Oryzias latipes: one gene and its partners. The protein of the gene in region 4 purifies or fractionates together with the protein of the main gene of each other region. This does not show direct contact. Links are inferred from orthologs where the notes say so. Each region holds a gene or a part of one and is shown on either strand. Other genes may lie near its edges.

What was found.
Region 1: the proteins of mtmr2 (region 4) and sbf1 purify together in Homo sapiens (affinity purification with mass spectrometry; 6 studies listed by BioGRID and IntAct, with this or other methods). This does not show direct contact. The link is inferred for Oryzias latipes from reciprocal best matches to the Homo sapiens genes MTMR2 and SBF1.
Region 2: the proteins of mtmr2 (region 4) and sbf2 purify together in Homo sapiens (affinity purification with mass spectrometry; 3 studies listed by BioGRID and IntAct, with this or other methods). This does not show direct contact. The link is inferred for Oryzias latipes from reciprocal best matches to the Homo sapiens genes MTMR2 and SBF2.
Region 3: the proteins of mtmr2 (region 4) and mtmr10 purify together in Homo sapiens (affinity purification with mass spectrometry; 5 studies listed by BioGRID and IntAct, with this or other methods). This does not show direct contact. The link is inferred for Oryzias latipes from reciprocal best matches to the Homo sapiens genes MTMR2 and MTMR10.

Annotation. Positions count from the first base shown.
Region 1 is NC_019881.2:9,364,782-9,368,615, reverse strand, and holds part of sbf1 (myotubularin-related protein 5), read right to left. Parts: intron 2,089-3,834; coding exon 1,951-2,088; intron 1,877-1,950; coding exon 1,781-1,876; intron 1,626-1,780; coding exon 1,557-1,625; intron 1-1,556. UniProt on the Homo sapiens protein: Acts as an adapter for the phosphatase MTMR2 to regulate MTMR2 catalytic activity and subcellular location. Promotes the exchange of GDP to GTP, converting inactive GDP-bound Rab proteins into their active GTP-bound form.
Region 2 is NC_019861.2:19,894,687-19,898,520, reverse strand, and holds part of sbf2 (myotubularin-related protein 13), read left to right. Parts: intron 1-1,006; coding exon 1,007-1,202; intron 1,203-1,872; coding exon 1,873-2,000; intron 2,001-2,910; coding exon 2,911-3,086; intron 3,087-3,212; coding exon 3,213-3,346; intron 3,347-3,418; coding exon 3,419-3,617; intron 3,618-3,834. UniProt on the Homo sapiens protein: Guanine nucleotide exchange factor (GEF) which activates RAB21 and possibly RAB28. Promotes the exchange of GDP to GTP, converting inactive GDP-bound Rab proteins into their active GTP-bound form.
Region 3 is NC_019861.2:21,153,650-21,157,483, forward strand, and holds part of mtmr10 (myotubularin-related protein 10), read right to left. Parts: intron 3,808-3,834; coding exon 3,671-3,807; intron 3,258-3,670; coding exon 3,185-3,257; intron 2,326-3,184; coding exon 2,183-2,325; intron 121-2,182; coding exon 27-120; intron 1-26.
Region 4 is NC_019872.2:15,990,899-15,993,863, forward strand, and holds the end of mtmr2 (myotubularin-related protein 2), read right to left. Parts: coding exon 2,876-2,965; intron 2,792-2,875; coding exon 2,699-2,791; intron 2,604-2,698; coding exon 2,490-2,603; intron 2,349-2,489; coding exon 2,172-2,348; intron 2,086-2,171; coding exon 1,921-2,085; 3' UTR 614-1,920; downstream 1-613. UniProt on the Homo sapiens protein: Lipid phosphatase that specifically dephosphorylates the D-3 position of phosphatidylinositol 3-phosphate and phosphatidylinositol 3,5-bisphosphate, generating phosphatidylinositol and phosphatidylinositol 5-phosphate.

The DNA of each region.
Region 1 (3,834 bases), on a different chromosome or scaffold from region 4:
CAGTAGAGTCTTACATCTGTCCGATTTTTAAACGCTGTCGTTTCTGTTTTGTCTTAATAAATGAATTGATTGTTTTACATTTTAGACACAATATTTTTATTGTTATTGCTGTCACACAACTCTGGTTGGACTGCTGGCTGGGGTTTTCCGATGTGGAGTTTTTGCATGTTCTCCTCATGCAACTGTGCATTTTCTCTGGCCTCCTCCCACAGTCCAGAAACATGCTGCATAGGTGGACTGTGTGCGTGGTTGTGTATCACTGCTACATACTGGTGACCTGTTTAGGCTGAACCCCGCCCTCACCCAACAGCAGCTGTGATAGGCTCCAGCAGCCCCAGGACCCTAAAGGTGGATGGATATTTTTCATTTACATGTTGCTGTACTCATACAACATATAACCGTATATAACATTTAATAAAGACAGATTTTCTTTGCACATTTGTTCTTTTACAAACATTTTTTTGGTTTATTTTAAAATTTGAACTTGATTTTCTTTTGGGGTGTGTGGTTTGGGTGACCTTTTTGGTTAAAACAATATTTTGTTTTAAGTTTGTTACTAAAATCTGAAGTTGATGTACGAAGCAGTTTTTCTTGTCCTGATTACGGTGGGCGAGGGTGCAAGACATGCGCACATTTAAGATACAACAACAAATCCCAGTACAAATGAACAAATACTGAAACACAACAGCAAATCACAGAACAAATTACAGAGTCCTGAAACACAAAAGCAAATCACATTACAAATGACCAAATCCAGAAACACGGTCATATAGACACAGCTAGAAAGGGACGTCATATTAAACCAATCATATACGATTTTTTAAAGTGATTTATTACTGTTTTCTTTATGTTATAAATACATGAAACAGTCCAAAATAATTTTTTAAAATTGTATTAATGCAATGAAAATGTACAACACCTTCGGTGTTAAAGGGAATCCCCATTCCGTTAGCAGCTTTCGTTCGATAGCGTTCATTTTTTCTCCACTTTCTACTGTCGCGTTTTGCACTTGCCGGCCGGCTGCTTAATGGAAATTTGATTTGTTCTGTGATTTGCTGTTGTGTTTCAGTATTTGTTCATTTGTACTGGCACAAACTGAAAGGAAACATCAAACAAAAGCAACAAATATTTAGATTCGTTATGCTGTGGTTTGATTCTTTATTTGTTTATTTGGGTGGAATCATGCCTTCATAGTGAGATCAGATGGAGCCTTTCCTGTAAAATCATGTGAACACAGACAGCAGAGTGTAGCAGAAGTGGATCATAAGGGGTTTGAGGCTGCAGGACGCAGGGACGACTAGTGCTGGAGCTGGAATGATCCAGTCTGCCAGCCTCCCGTCGTCCTAGAGAAACGGCTACGCCACACTGACAGTCTAAAGTTCTGAAGGAGAAACAACCAGCAGGACGTCACGCAGCTCAGCCGGAGCTGCAGCGTGTACACAACAACACAAGCAGCAACGTTGCAGTGTTAGCACACAAAAAGACCCATCTACCGTTAGAGACCTGATTGGTTAAAGACGAGTGAAGGAAGGGCTGAGGGGCGTGGCCTACTGTACCTCTGGGGGAGTTCCTGGCCTTGTTAGGCCCCTTGGGTTGAGAGGACACTTTGACGCTTTTACCCTGAGCTGAGGTCAAATGACAGAAATGCCAGTTAACCAACAAAAGAGGACCTTCTCCCTACATGACTCCCAAATCCGCTTCCTCCTCTGTCCCAGGCCAGCTCCAAAACTCACATGAACAGAAGCCAGAACTGCCCAAAACACACCAGTTTGGACCTCACCTCCTCTGCTGAACGTCCCGGGAACCTCCTCCTTCACGCCCATCACCTGCTTCATGAGCATCCCGATTTTAGGCTGCCTCAGTTTATCTGCAGAGTCTGGAAACAGAAGACGCAGAGATGAGAGGTTTCTCTGGCAGCGGTGTTTCCAGTGCGTAACTGGGCGTCCTCACCTGAGGTGCTCATGTGAGCGGAAGAGAAGCCGCTCAGCGTGTTTCTGCCGCTGCTCTCGCTGTAGGACGGCATGCTGCCGATGATGGCCTGCAGGTACTTCTCCTGCTCCAGGCTGGTGGAGTCGGCCTGACTGGGAACTGGACAAAAACACGCCAGCCTGTTACAGCGTTTTTAGAAGACAAAGACGAGACAGCAGCAACATCTGTGGACTTCCTGGTTACCAGGAAAGACGGACCACAACATCACCAGCAGTTTGATTTAGATTCAAATCAGAATTAAACATCTAAAAGCATAAAAAAAGACTTTCTAAAGCAGAAACTTGTTTAATTAAACTACAACAAAAACATGTAAAAGTCGCAAAATAAGAACAGTCGGCAACACGGCTGCTGTGACAACCGTTTCTATAATAAATATCTATTTAATGATTCTCCGTTAAATGATCAAGAGATTGAATACATCAAATCCTCCTTGAGAGAATTTGAAGAAATCTCTGTATACGTGAGAAAACTAAATTTTATTCTGTGTTCTGCCTCAGAGATCTCAGTTTTTATCTGATTAAATCTGTGCTCCCTTTATGCAAAGTGAAATGTTTTTGACTATGCTACTAATTGGTGACTGTTTTAACCGCAAGATGGGATTCCTGCTTAATAAATCTTAAACATACTGTATGACCATTAGACGGATCATCTCTGACGTCACCCACAGGCTTTTCAACAAACATGGGGAGGGCAAATGGCCTGAACTCTTCAGCATTCTGGAAATGTAAAGTGGGTTTTGTTGAGCTCACCCATAAGTCCACCCACCTGTCAATCAAAGAATAACACATTGAAAACCCCTAAAATAAGCAACAAACATTCAAGTCCCACTCCAATCATCTTCTGATCAATTTTCAAAGGGTAAAGAAAATGATGCAGTTTTTAGTAAAAATCCAAAAACCACACCATTCACTCTGCTATATGTGAAATACTCAGTTATAAGATACCCCGAACCTGTCTTGTGATGTATCTGGGTTACTTAGAGGGAACAGTACATAAAACGGACCAAAATCTAGTAAAAGTTCTTCTTGTGGCAGCAAAGAAAGCCATAACTAAGAACTGGCAGAAGGCTGAAGCCCCAACACACAAGCAATGGATGTATATTGTGGAAGAAATACAAACAATGGAGAGACTTGCATACAAACTAAGAATGAAGGAAAACAAATTTCTGAAGGACTGGGAAAAATGGTTTATGTACAAAACAAGAAAAGGTCATGACAAATTGTTAACTCTGTGATCAGTATCCTAGATAGGAGGATAATTTCAACCTGACAACTCTACGTACCTTCTTGTACTAATTTTTCATTTTCTTTGGATTTTTGTTAAATATATGCTGTTTCAATGCTTCTAACTTTGTTCATGTGTTTAAAAACAATAAAAAGATATTTGCAAAAAAAAAAAAAAAAAAATCCAAAAACCTGTGTCGCTTTCAATGACATAGTTTCTGCAGAGATGCAGGAGTTTAGCAGAAATTCCCCCTTGAGATTTGGACTAAACTGTTGGAACGGAAGCAAGCCAACCCCCATTTCCCATCATGCTTTTTTTTTTTTTTACACTCTGTCCCATTAGCTTACAGCCTCTCACAGACCAAAGCTAACATTAGCGGTGCAGTAAAAATGGGTGCAACACCAAACCTATCCAGCCGTACAGTTTAGATCCAAAATCCAGCTCAGACGAGGTAAACAAAGATGTAGATTCATGCGTCAGAATGAAGCGGAGCAAGGAGTTTTCTTTTCGCCAGCTGACTGAAGCACCAACATCACTGCTACAACCTTTTTAAACTGAATGTTTTCATCTGCTCCCGATTTGAATAAAGAAAACTCAGAAATGGAGTTTTGATCTTCATTT
Region 2 (3,834 bases), on a different chromosome or scaffold from region 4:
AGCCAGATGCCAGCTCAGACGAGGAAAACCAAAACGTACATGGATCCATTTGTCTGCCAGTGGATGCATCAGAATGGAGCGGAGCAGGGAGCTTGTGGCCCGGCAGCACGAGTTCCTACGAAGCAAATACCACCTTTTTTTATACAGCATTGTTGTGTCTGCTACTGATTCACAACGATTTGAATAAAGAAATACTCAGAAATGCAGTTTTGAGGTGAATTTTGTTTCTGTATGTCCTCCATCATCAGAAAAATATACCAAGAAAACAACCAAAACACAGTTGTGATCAGACTGGGTCTCTAAAGCCATTTCTTTTTTCCTGTTACTTCAGTCCTTTTAGTTTGATGCATCTACATGTAATATTGGGAATATTTGAAAGAATCTTGTGCACCCATTGAAGTATTTACTTTCTGAAAGATTAGAGTGTGATTTCTGGAAAATGTGAAGCCATTGGCTGCTGGTTTGGCACAGTTTTCACTTTTAGATGATAGAAAAGAAAATAGGAAACACAAAAAGGTTTTTTGTTTAAAAATTAAGTGTTTGTCTGTCAGTATCCAAAAGTTCTAAACATAAGGTGAACAGCAGCCTTCAGTTCAATAAATCTCAACCACTTCTGCAAAAAAAAAACAGATTATAAGTTATGCATGAGCGCCAAAATGTAAAAATGATCTCTTCAGAGAGTTGGAAATTATATTTCTTGGATGATTTTAGTTTAAAAAGGTTATATGATTGCTGTCCGGTTAGGGTACTTTTAAAGATCCATGTTTCTGATGATGTTCACATGAGTTTTTTTTTTTTCCAACAAGGCCATGGTGCGCACTGAATTGACAGTGGGATGATGAATTTATTTCCTTAATCGGATTCTCTGACGCAAATGTTTCCACTCACCCCTGAGCTTTCTGTGCCTTGTTGTCAATCAAGAAAGCCTGGCTTTGAGCGCGTACGTGCTTGCAGTCAGGTACACTGCTGCTTGTGTGTTCTGTGCTGAGGTGCTCTTTCCTTTCAGCCCAAGATTTTGCGTCCAGCTCTGCTGCCTGGTGAGGAATTTGTGTCGGAGGCGCTGCGGGTGATGCTGGACCCAGACGGCAGGGAGGAAGCCACTGGGGGCCTCCTCGGGGGCCCCCATATTCTACCAGCAGAGGGGGCCCTTTTTCTTACCACATATCGCATAATCTTCAAAGGCATTCCTCACGACCCACTAGGTATTTATTGATCATGAAGTAAATTTGTCTCAGTGACCTTGTCGTAGAGTGTCCACCCTGAGTGGGGATGATCGTGGTTCGAGTCTACAGTCGAGTCATGCCAAATTTATTCAAAAATGGGGCCCAGTGCCTCTCTGCTTGACATGGAGCATTCAGTGATTGGATGGAGGAGTTAAAGCACAGTATTGTTCACAAGTGCAGCTTTGATTGCAGCTCACTGCTCCCCCAAGGAATGGGTCAAACCCAAAGAACACATTTTCCTACGCTCTGATGTGTGACAATAGTTGGACTTTACCTTTTAAATTAGTCAATTTTTTATTTTTAAATTATTAAATGCTCTAACATTGTGCCTCTTTTGTTCAATTTAGCCTACCGTCAAATTGTAACCCTTGTGCTATCCTAGGCACTTTAACATTGGGAGTTGGGTCATCTAGACCCACTAGACAGTGCTCTGAACCTTTTTTCTTCAATGATTTGTGAACCTCACTGGTGTCCATGGATTACATGAAATCTTTCCACCTTTATCCACCTTTGTCATGGTAGGGAGAACATGTCAATGGTCATCTTGACCTCATAGGATGGCACAAGGGTTAAAAATGTAATTCAGATTAAACTGATTAACGGTTTTGTTTGCTCAGACATGTTGATCTTTGTCCTTGTACATCTGCAGTGGGAGAGCAGACGGTTATCAGGGCCTTTCCTGTGTCCACTCTGACCAAAGAGAAGAAGATCAGCATTCAGAACCAGCTGCAGCAGCACATGCAGGAAGGCCTGCAGCTCCGGTCTGCATCTTTCCAGGTTCACATTCTTTCAATTTAATCTAAGGGATTCTATCAATTAATTTTCTTAATTGTATTTACTTGATTTCCTTTAGTTGAAAATGCACAAAATAATCTTTTAGGTCATTTGATGGCTCTATTTGGTCAAAGTGTGCTATTCAAGCAACACTAACCCTGAAAGCTCTTGTGGCTAAACCCCATTTCTTTAACTCACCTGTTGGGCTGTTGTTTTTTTTTTGATGTTACAAGAAGTCTATGTTACACGGACACAGAGAACAGCACAGCTCTTTGCTACTGCTAGAACAGACTCACTGTTGTAAGTTAGCAACAAACTACGTCTCCCTGTATCAGTTCTATGCAGTTTTAGAGTCTCAAATAACAAACAATCAAGCAAAGTTGAACACAAAAAGTCGTACGACGATCGCACACACAAGGTGCCCTGTCCCTATGCTGTTTGTCATACAACTGTTACAACCAGCGCCATAAAATACAGTCGAAGGCAACGGAAAACGCAGTTGGTAACTGACACTCAGGCAGGCTGCTCACATTAAATCCCAGCTGCGACAAATGAGCAAGGTTTATATAACAGACCCACTTTCAAGGTTGATGAGGCAGAGTTGAAGGCCAGTGAAACCAGGCTGCAACAGCACGCCAATGGGAGGTGGAAGAGTGCATATAACACCAGATGTGGAACTGTGCAGTGGACTCTGCATTCTTTAAAGAAGGCATTTAATACACAGAAGAGAGTCAATCTATGTAGTAAAGCATGCATGTACAGCTCTAAGAGTTTTTACTGTAAATTCCTGGATTTTACCCCCCATGTTTGGGGGTTCTTTAGTCCATCCCATGTCTTCCTTAGGCAAACATATTGTTGAGTTGCAATACCTGACCTGGGTTTTACAATTATTGTTATGATGGCTTTCTTGCAGCTAATAAAGGTAGCTTTTGATGAGGAAGTTAGCTCAGAGATGGTGGAGATCTTCAGGAAACACCTCCAAAGAATCCGCTATCCTCAGTCCATCTTCAGCTCCTTTGCCTTTGCAGCAGGACAAACAACCCCTCAACTGATCCTTCCAAAGCAGAAGGAGCGTAACACTGGCCTCAAGTAAGCCCAACCCCTTTTTGGAAATTGCATCAGAGCTTCCTGTTTACTGTAAATGAACCAGAAGTTTTATTTTGAAACCACTCTGACTCCTTTTTGCATGTCACCTCTGCTTTGTGTTTATCACAGAACACTGTCTAAGAGCATAGTCAAAGGAGCCAAACGGGCTGGAAAGATCACCATGGGCCTTGGTAGTCAGAATTCACTGAAAAAGGCTGACCGAAGCAGCCGGATGATCTATCATGAAGACGATGACATTTCAAGTGAGAGAAATGAACGAGCAGCGAAAGAGTCAATGTGGAGACACAAAAACAGTGGATTTTTGTCTGTTGCAGTATCGGACGAAGAGCCTCCACCCAGCAGCACCTTACGGGCGTCAGAGAAGTCCACTATGGAGCAGCTGGTGGAACAGTCTTGTTTCCGTGACTACCAGCGTCTGGGCCTGGGCACCATCACTGCCAGCTCATCTCGCTCCAAGTCAGGCGAGCAGTTCAGGATCACAGCTGTAAACAGGCTGTACTCCCTCTGCCGCAGGTGAACCGACTTTCACAGAAAGCCTTTGTGATTCGCACGTGTTTTCATTCGCAGCAGAAGGTCTTTATTTCCCAGTGCATCTGTCCAGACACCCGCTGATGCCACTAGTCACAGCTTGGTCCAAAAATAAGTCAAAACCTTCATTTAATTAAACAAATAAGCAAAAAAATCCCAGTGGAAAAGTACAGCAGTGATTAATTTTTTCATCTGGCAACAG
Region 3 (3,834 bases), on a different chromosome or scaffold from region 4:
AAAGCACGAGGATCAACTTACACTACCTTTAGATTCATGGTATCGCCGTCCCTGATACTCAAAACCAAACAATAGTTGAATATCAGCTGGATGAGAATAGTGGGCGATAGCAAGGCAAACCTACAGAAAAGAAAGGCAGCAAGACTTTGACAAATAACGATAGAATATTTCACATTTAATTAGACATGTTTTATGGTGTACAGTTAATTTTGTAGTTTTTAATCTCCATGTTGCCATGTTGACAATTATTACAGTCCTAATAGCCATTTCATTGACTTATAGCATCTAGATCTACATAGCTTTAATATTGTTGCCCAGCATTTGCCAAAATCTTATGTTGAGTTTCTCCTTTCACAATAGTAATTGACCATCTATAGCAGGGGGTCAGCAATGTTTATGACATCAAATGCCTATCTTAAATTCTCTCCTTAACAACTGCGTCATCATCCACTATAATGTGAAATCTAATACAAAGAAATACAAAAACACTTCCAAATATATCTGAAATGTTATTGAATCCACAAACAGCAGGTCCAATAGCTTTTTAAACCTATTTTGGCATAACTCAAAAAAGTGCCTTCATAACAATATTGCACAAGGAAAATTGGCCAAAGTTGCAACTATGTTTGAAACTGTAAATACTGTGCATTTGTTGTATGTAATACCTACAGCAATTGGATTGGATACACCAGAACAAATTGCCATCAATATTTCTAAGAACTTCACTTTCATTAACATGAAAATAAATAAGCCTATTTTGATTTATTCATCTTTTGTTACATTGTGAGACAGTCCCCGAGTTCCTTAATATAGGTTAATTCTGTGGTGGTGCTTTTATTGCATGTAAAATTAATTATTTTTACTTTTTCATTAGTTTGCTAATTATAGTAATATAAATGTTCTGCAATTGGACAGTGTCATTATTAATTTTTTTCTACCCCAATAAATGGAATGATGATCAGCTGTAGTATTCCTTTTAAACTTGCCCAAATTTCATTTTAACATTTGGCAGAACAGAAGAGAAGTCTGGGTTTAATCTGGCCTTGCTTGGTTTTTTATTCAACAAACTGAACTTCTAACTTTAGAAATGTCAGCCGCTGTGACGCCGTAAACATGACCAAAATAACCAGCTGTGCAGTCATAAACATGTACTACAGCTTCTTGCATTTCCCACTAACGCAGACGCTCACAGTCCATCCACAGACACGCTCATTTTGCCCCACCTGTCATCTCACCAGCAACAGTTTGCAAACAGCACTTATTAGGTTTTCATTTCATTGTGATAAACGTAGTTATTTTTTTCCTACGGTGTGGATTTTAAATCGCCTGTTCATGAGGACTGACATGAAAAAGTGGGCGGGGTCACAGTAACAGCGATGCGTGAATGTTCCCTTTCCTTATGATCCAATAGGATCATCACTGGAGCCTAACAAAGCTGCCTATTCAGGAGAAACACTGAACACCACCAGAGGACACTGTGTGTGAGAGGGGTGAGGCTCTGACCCTGGAATTTCCTACACAACATGATGCTCTCACAGGTAGGAGAATTTCACATGTTGAGCAAGAGAACAAACAAAAAAAAAAAAAAAAACAAGTGCGCTCAGTGTCAGGTTCTCAACATTTCCAAAATAAAGTCATAGAACAAGAAGGGCAGATTTGTTCTGAGATCCTATGGAGTTTGAACATTTTCCACTGTGTGTTAACACATACAACAGGTACAGCATGACTTCACATCTCCATTAATGAAGTATTTTTAAAAAGCAGCTTGTAAATTCCCAAAATAAAAACAATACACATTTAAACACTTTAAGCTTTAGATTGCATTTGAAATTTAAAATGTACAACTAAATTTATGTAAACACATCTTAAGCCAGTCTTAGTCAAATGCTGAATAATATGGAAGTAGTTTTGGTAAATATTTTTGGGGGATTTCAGTCTTTTGAAAATTTTGAAACCTTAATTATTTCTGCCTTGATGTTCTTTAACAGTAAGGAATATTATCACATTTTATTCAATAATTTGTTAATCCATAAATCAACTTTCTCAACCGATAAATCTGAGAGTTAACTGATAACCTTTCCAATATTCTCAATATAAGAAAGTCTAGAAAAAGCCTCTTCTAAACCTATATCTAATGATTGAACAGTAGAGAAATTTTACATTAAAATACTTATTAATTTACCTTTCTTGCACTTTCTGGTCCCGCTTCATCAAAGCAGAACCGTATAATGCGCAGGTCTTTGCAGTACAGAATGAGCTCAGTGGGATTGAACTTTAGTTTCTGGTTAGAACTCAATATCTTCTTTTTTCCCTTTAAATCATTAACTGAAAAGACAAGAGACAAAAAAAGAACGACATTAGCTAAATATGTGAGATTACCTGTTTTTTAGATTAGCAAAGGTGCATCAAGACTCTTATTTGTAAAGCATCAAGGTAGATAAAGCGATACTTTGGACTCGTTTTCTCTTTTTCAGCATTAACACCTGGGAATCGTGAAGTTATTGAATAACCCATAAACTCTTCTGTAAACTAAGGTATTTGACTCCAATGTAAAGCCATGTGTCCATCAGCTCAAGACTAACCTAACATTGGGTCGCCAAACCAAACAAGAGTCAAGAGAGCATCAGCAACTACTATTTTCCGCTGCAAAAATACAATTTGATATCAAATGTCTTGAATCCACTAAAATATTTACAAATCCTCTTACTGAGCAATGCAAGAACAAGTGCCACCTAAATACCAGTAAATGAAAACAAATATGAACTGAGTAAGTGCTACACATTCGATCACAATGATGTAGTTAAGAAAACATCACTAAAATTATACCATCATTTATCTACATTAAAAAAAGAGTGCAAAGAAACATAAACTATACTGATATTAATGAATATTCATGACTAATACTGAGTAAACCAAACTCTTATGCTTCCCCACCACAAAACACACAACTTGAATGCTTCTGAAAACAACTGTCGCCAATGATGTGCAAAAACATTACCAGGCGTCATGACAACAGACCATTTCCTTAGATAACTTAACATACATGTTATCAAGCTCACTCGTGAAAAATGACTGCTTTGTGCTGCATCTGCTGTTCTGTTAAAGTATCATAGACATGACAAGGAATGCAATTCCTTATAAAGAAACTGTGTATAATCATAGAGTATGAGCGAATTAAGTTTACCCGTCACTACTTGGTCCAGACATGTCAGAGGGATATCATGTTCTCCAAGGAGGAGGTGGAAAAGCTGGGTTCTCTGTAAAGGAGGCAATCAAAAGAGGTTGACATCTAATCAACTGTGTTGTTCCTATAATATGTCATGCTGTTGGCTATATAGTATGCCAAGTTCCTCAGACTGAGCAATGATCTACTTCCAGTTTGTTATCAAGCCAACCATCTGCTGCAGCGGTGAAAATGGTTTCTGTTTTCTCATTTCTTGTGCAACATCGATGATCAAAAAGCATTCCTTCCTCTTCGCTAGGTGCATTTTGTGCAAAATCAAAGTTCTGTGCGTGTTTGATGATACAAAATATAAGCCATGCACTAAAGCTGCAATGCTTCATTTTGACATAATCACTTCTCTGTATGGTGATAACGAGATAAGGTTGTAACATCAATGTTTTTGTAAGTTAAAACATTTAAATATAATAATAAAATCCCATCAAATACCTGTTTTTGTGGAGGGTCTTGGGGAATGAAAGAAACCTTGAAGTTGGTGCATATCAGCTTCCCCCAAAGATCGTCCTGACTGTTGTCGGTGCTGATGCATTTCTTCACAAAGTTCACCTCATTGACCACTATCTCACCTGAAGCATGAAAGGATATTAAAAATA
Region 4 (2,965 bases):
TAGTTAAATATGTAAATTTGAGTTGTATAAACAATTATCGAGTTGGATAGACATAAGAAATTAGGTTGAATAAATTTAACTCAATTACTTGTTACCAACTGAATCAATTCATTTAAGTTTTATAAGTTGTAAATACATCACAATGTAATTGGAAATAAGATCAGAAACTTGTGCGTTTACTCTGTTCGTTATTTTTCTCCAAGCAGAAACTCTTTCCTTTGCTGATGCAGCAGTGTTACTTTTTGATGGGCGTATAATCTTCATACGCCATCATTAAAATCTCAGACTCCGTCTCACTGAAGTATAGCGCTCTATTTTTTTTCTTCACGCGTTTCCATGGTGACTCGACATGTCGGTGATCCATTGATAATGCCTTTATGTGCTTGCCGTGCACGTGCATTAACCCAGGGTTACCAAGTCGAGCGTAATTACGCCAACTCATATCCGGTCTTTTGGAAACGACATACCCAGAGTAAGCAAGTTCAGGCGGATATTAGCAAGAGTTCAGGGTTAAAGTCAGGGTAGTTTAATCGTGCTTCCTGGAATACCCCCCAGATGTGGCAATTGGTGATTACAATACCAAACAGCTTAAAGGGAGATTCAATGACACCCATTTGCAAAGTATACATTTATTACAAAAGCAGAGGAAGAAACAGACCATTACTGGCCACATACCAATTAAAAGTCAAAGTGTATAAATATGACCAGCTTTATTGAGAAAATTAGTAGTGTATTGAGGCAGTGCTACAAACAGCATATTTTAAACTTCATCTTTGTTATTGTTTTTCCGAAAAGGCACTCTATTACAGCAAAATTATTAACATACTTAGACAATCAGTGATCTGGGTTGGTTTGAAAAAAAACAAAACAACAAAAAACAACAACATAAAAACAGTAACAGTTCAATCCCAGAAGGAAGGAATAGTGTTCAATCATAAACAAACCAAACAATCACTTCTATTGGCTTAAATATTAAACAACATTTTAATAAAGTGGAGAAGCTAAAGGCTAACAGTGCTCTTATTTAAGAGTCAACCAAACTTGACGTTTCTGTTGCCTCCAGTCATTCAGCAAAGGCACACAATTATTGGAATTGATAAACATTGCAATAGTAGCTGTTCTGCATATAAACATGTCAAGTGAATAACTTGGCGCACATTGCATATTCCTAATAGCTTTTTAGGCTTGCATGAAGACTTCTACAATTCTGATGAGATGAAAATCAGAATGGTTTAGAGATAGAAACACAGAAAACAGTAATAAATAAGGTTAGCTATTTAAAAAAAAAAAGTTAGAAAAGGGAAATCATTTAAAATGAAAGGAATGTCACACAGAACCCATTATGTAGAGGCAGGTCACAATATAGGATAAAGTTGTGAAGACATGGCCTCATCTATTGCTATTTTTAATAGAGGAAAAAAGACAGAGACATTTATGGTAAACATTAATATATGACAAAAAGAATAATTTGCTTGGAAAAAGCACAAGTGTTTCTCAGATTTGCATAATTATGTTTACTAGTAGTATTTTAGCTGATGTTTTTCAGACAAATAAGAGAGTGGAATGAGTGATTCTATGTCGCATTAAATCTGGATTATATATATTTAAAAACCACTGATAGTGAATTAGCTCTTTTATGCTACACAGCCCTTATATATTCTGGTTAAATATCCTTTTGCTTTGGATGTAGTGTAGTGTGGCCTTTGTCCAGTGTGCTCTGACACACATTGGAAATGCCAACATAAATCTCTGCTCATTTGGACTTTTTGTGTCATGTTTCAGTTCTGGTTGTCACTTAAAGAGGCAGTTTGGCTCACAGGCCTTTAATGGCTCCCAGTGTAGCCTTGATGATTACTCTTGTTTGGCCCTTCCAACACGGAGTAAACTCAGACTCTGTGACGATCACGTGATCAAGGTGCATCAAACAAAGGTTTGCACTGGAGTGACAGAGCGTGTTGGAGAGCTCGGGCGCTCGGAGGAGGAAGAAGCGGAGCGGTTTGCTGCCTCGCGTTTCAACTCGTCGACTCTTTTCTGGAGTTCGGCACGCTTCGCCAGCAGCTCCTTGTAACGCTGGTGAAGCGGTTCCTTAAAGAGAAGGGAAACATGGAAGTGCTCTGCGCCACAGATGGATTCTTAATAAATAAAAAGTCAGGTTAAATTTGACTACATACCTGGGGTCTCATGCGGGGGTTCCAGCGGATGTAATAACTGACCCAAAGCTCCAGATGGTGTAAGCTGACAACAGGAAACAGTACATGGTTGGAGTAGTTCACATAAAAAGGATTGGTAAATTCCTCCAGTTGGCTGTTGATGTAGGACCACAGTGAGACTGTTTTTTTGGGAACTTCCTGCAGAGTAGAGGGGAAGATGTGTTTTTAAACAATTTTATGCAACATTTATGGTTAATTCTTTTAAGACCTGACCAACCAAAATCTCAGAATACTAATTCTAAAAACCATAAAAAGCTGAAAGATGCAAAAAAGCCTTACTTCCTTCAACCTTTGCTGCTCACAGTTGCACAGGAATGTCCCAAAAAGGCAGGAGAACAAGTGTTCCAGGATGGTTATCAGGAAGTATTCGTTAAACTCAAAAGCTGAAGGAAACTTCAACAAAACAAACCAAAAAACAAACAAACTGTTAAATGACTATACAATATTAGTCTTTTTCTTGTTCTAAATATGAACTAATTGTGACTTACCTGGCGAGTCAATTGCCAGACACAGTCAACGAACTGAACAAAAACAGGAGACCGTTCTGCATCTGTGTAGTTTTTATCTCCATGACCGATACGCTGGAGGAGTCAGGAGGACAATCAGTACATCTAAATGTTCACTTCATGCTAGACAGGCCTTCACAAAACAAAAAGACCATTTACTTGCTGGAAGCGATGACCGAAACTCAGCCACTCTTTCTCAATCAGAATTTCAAAGCCCCGAATGGTGCGGTAGTACCCATCTAGCATGAG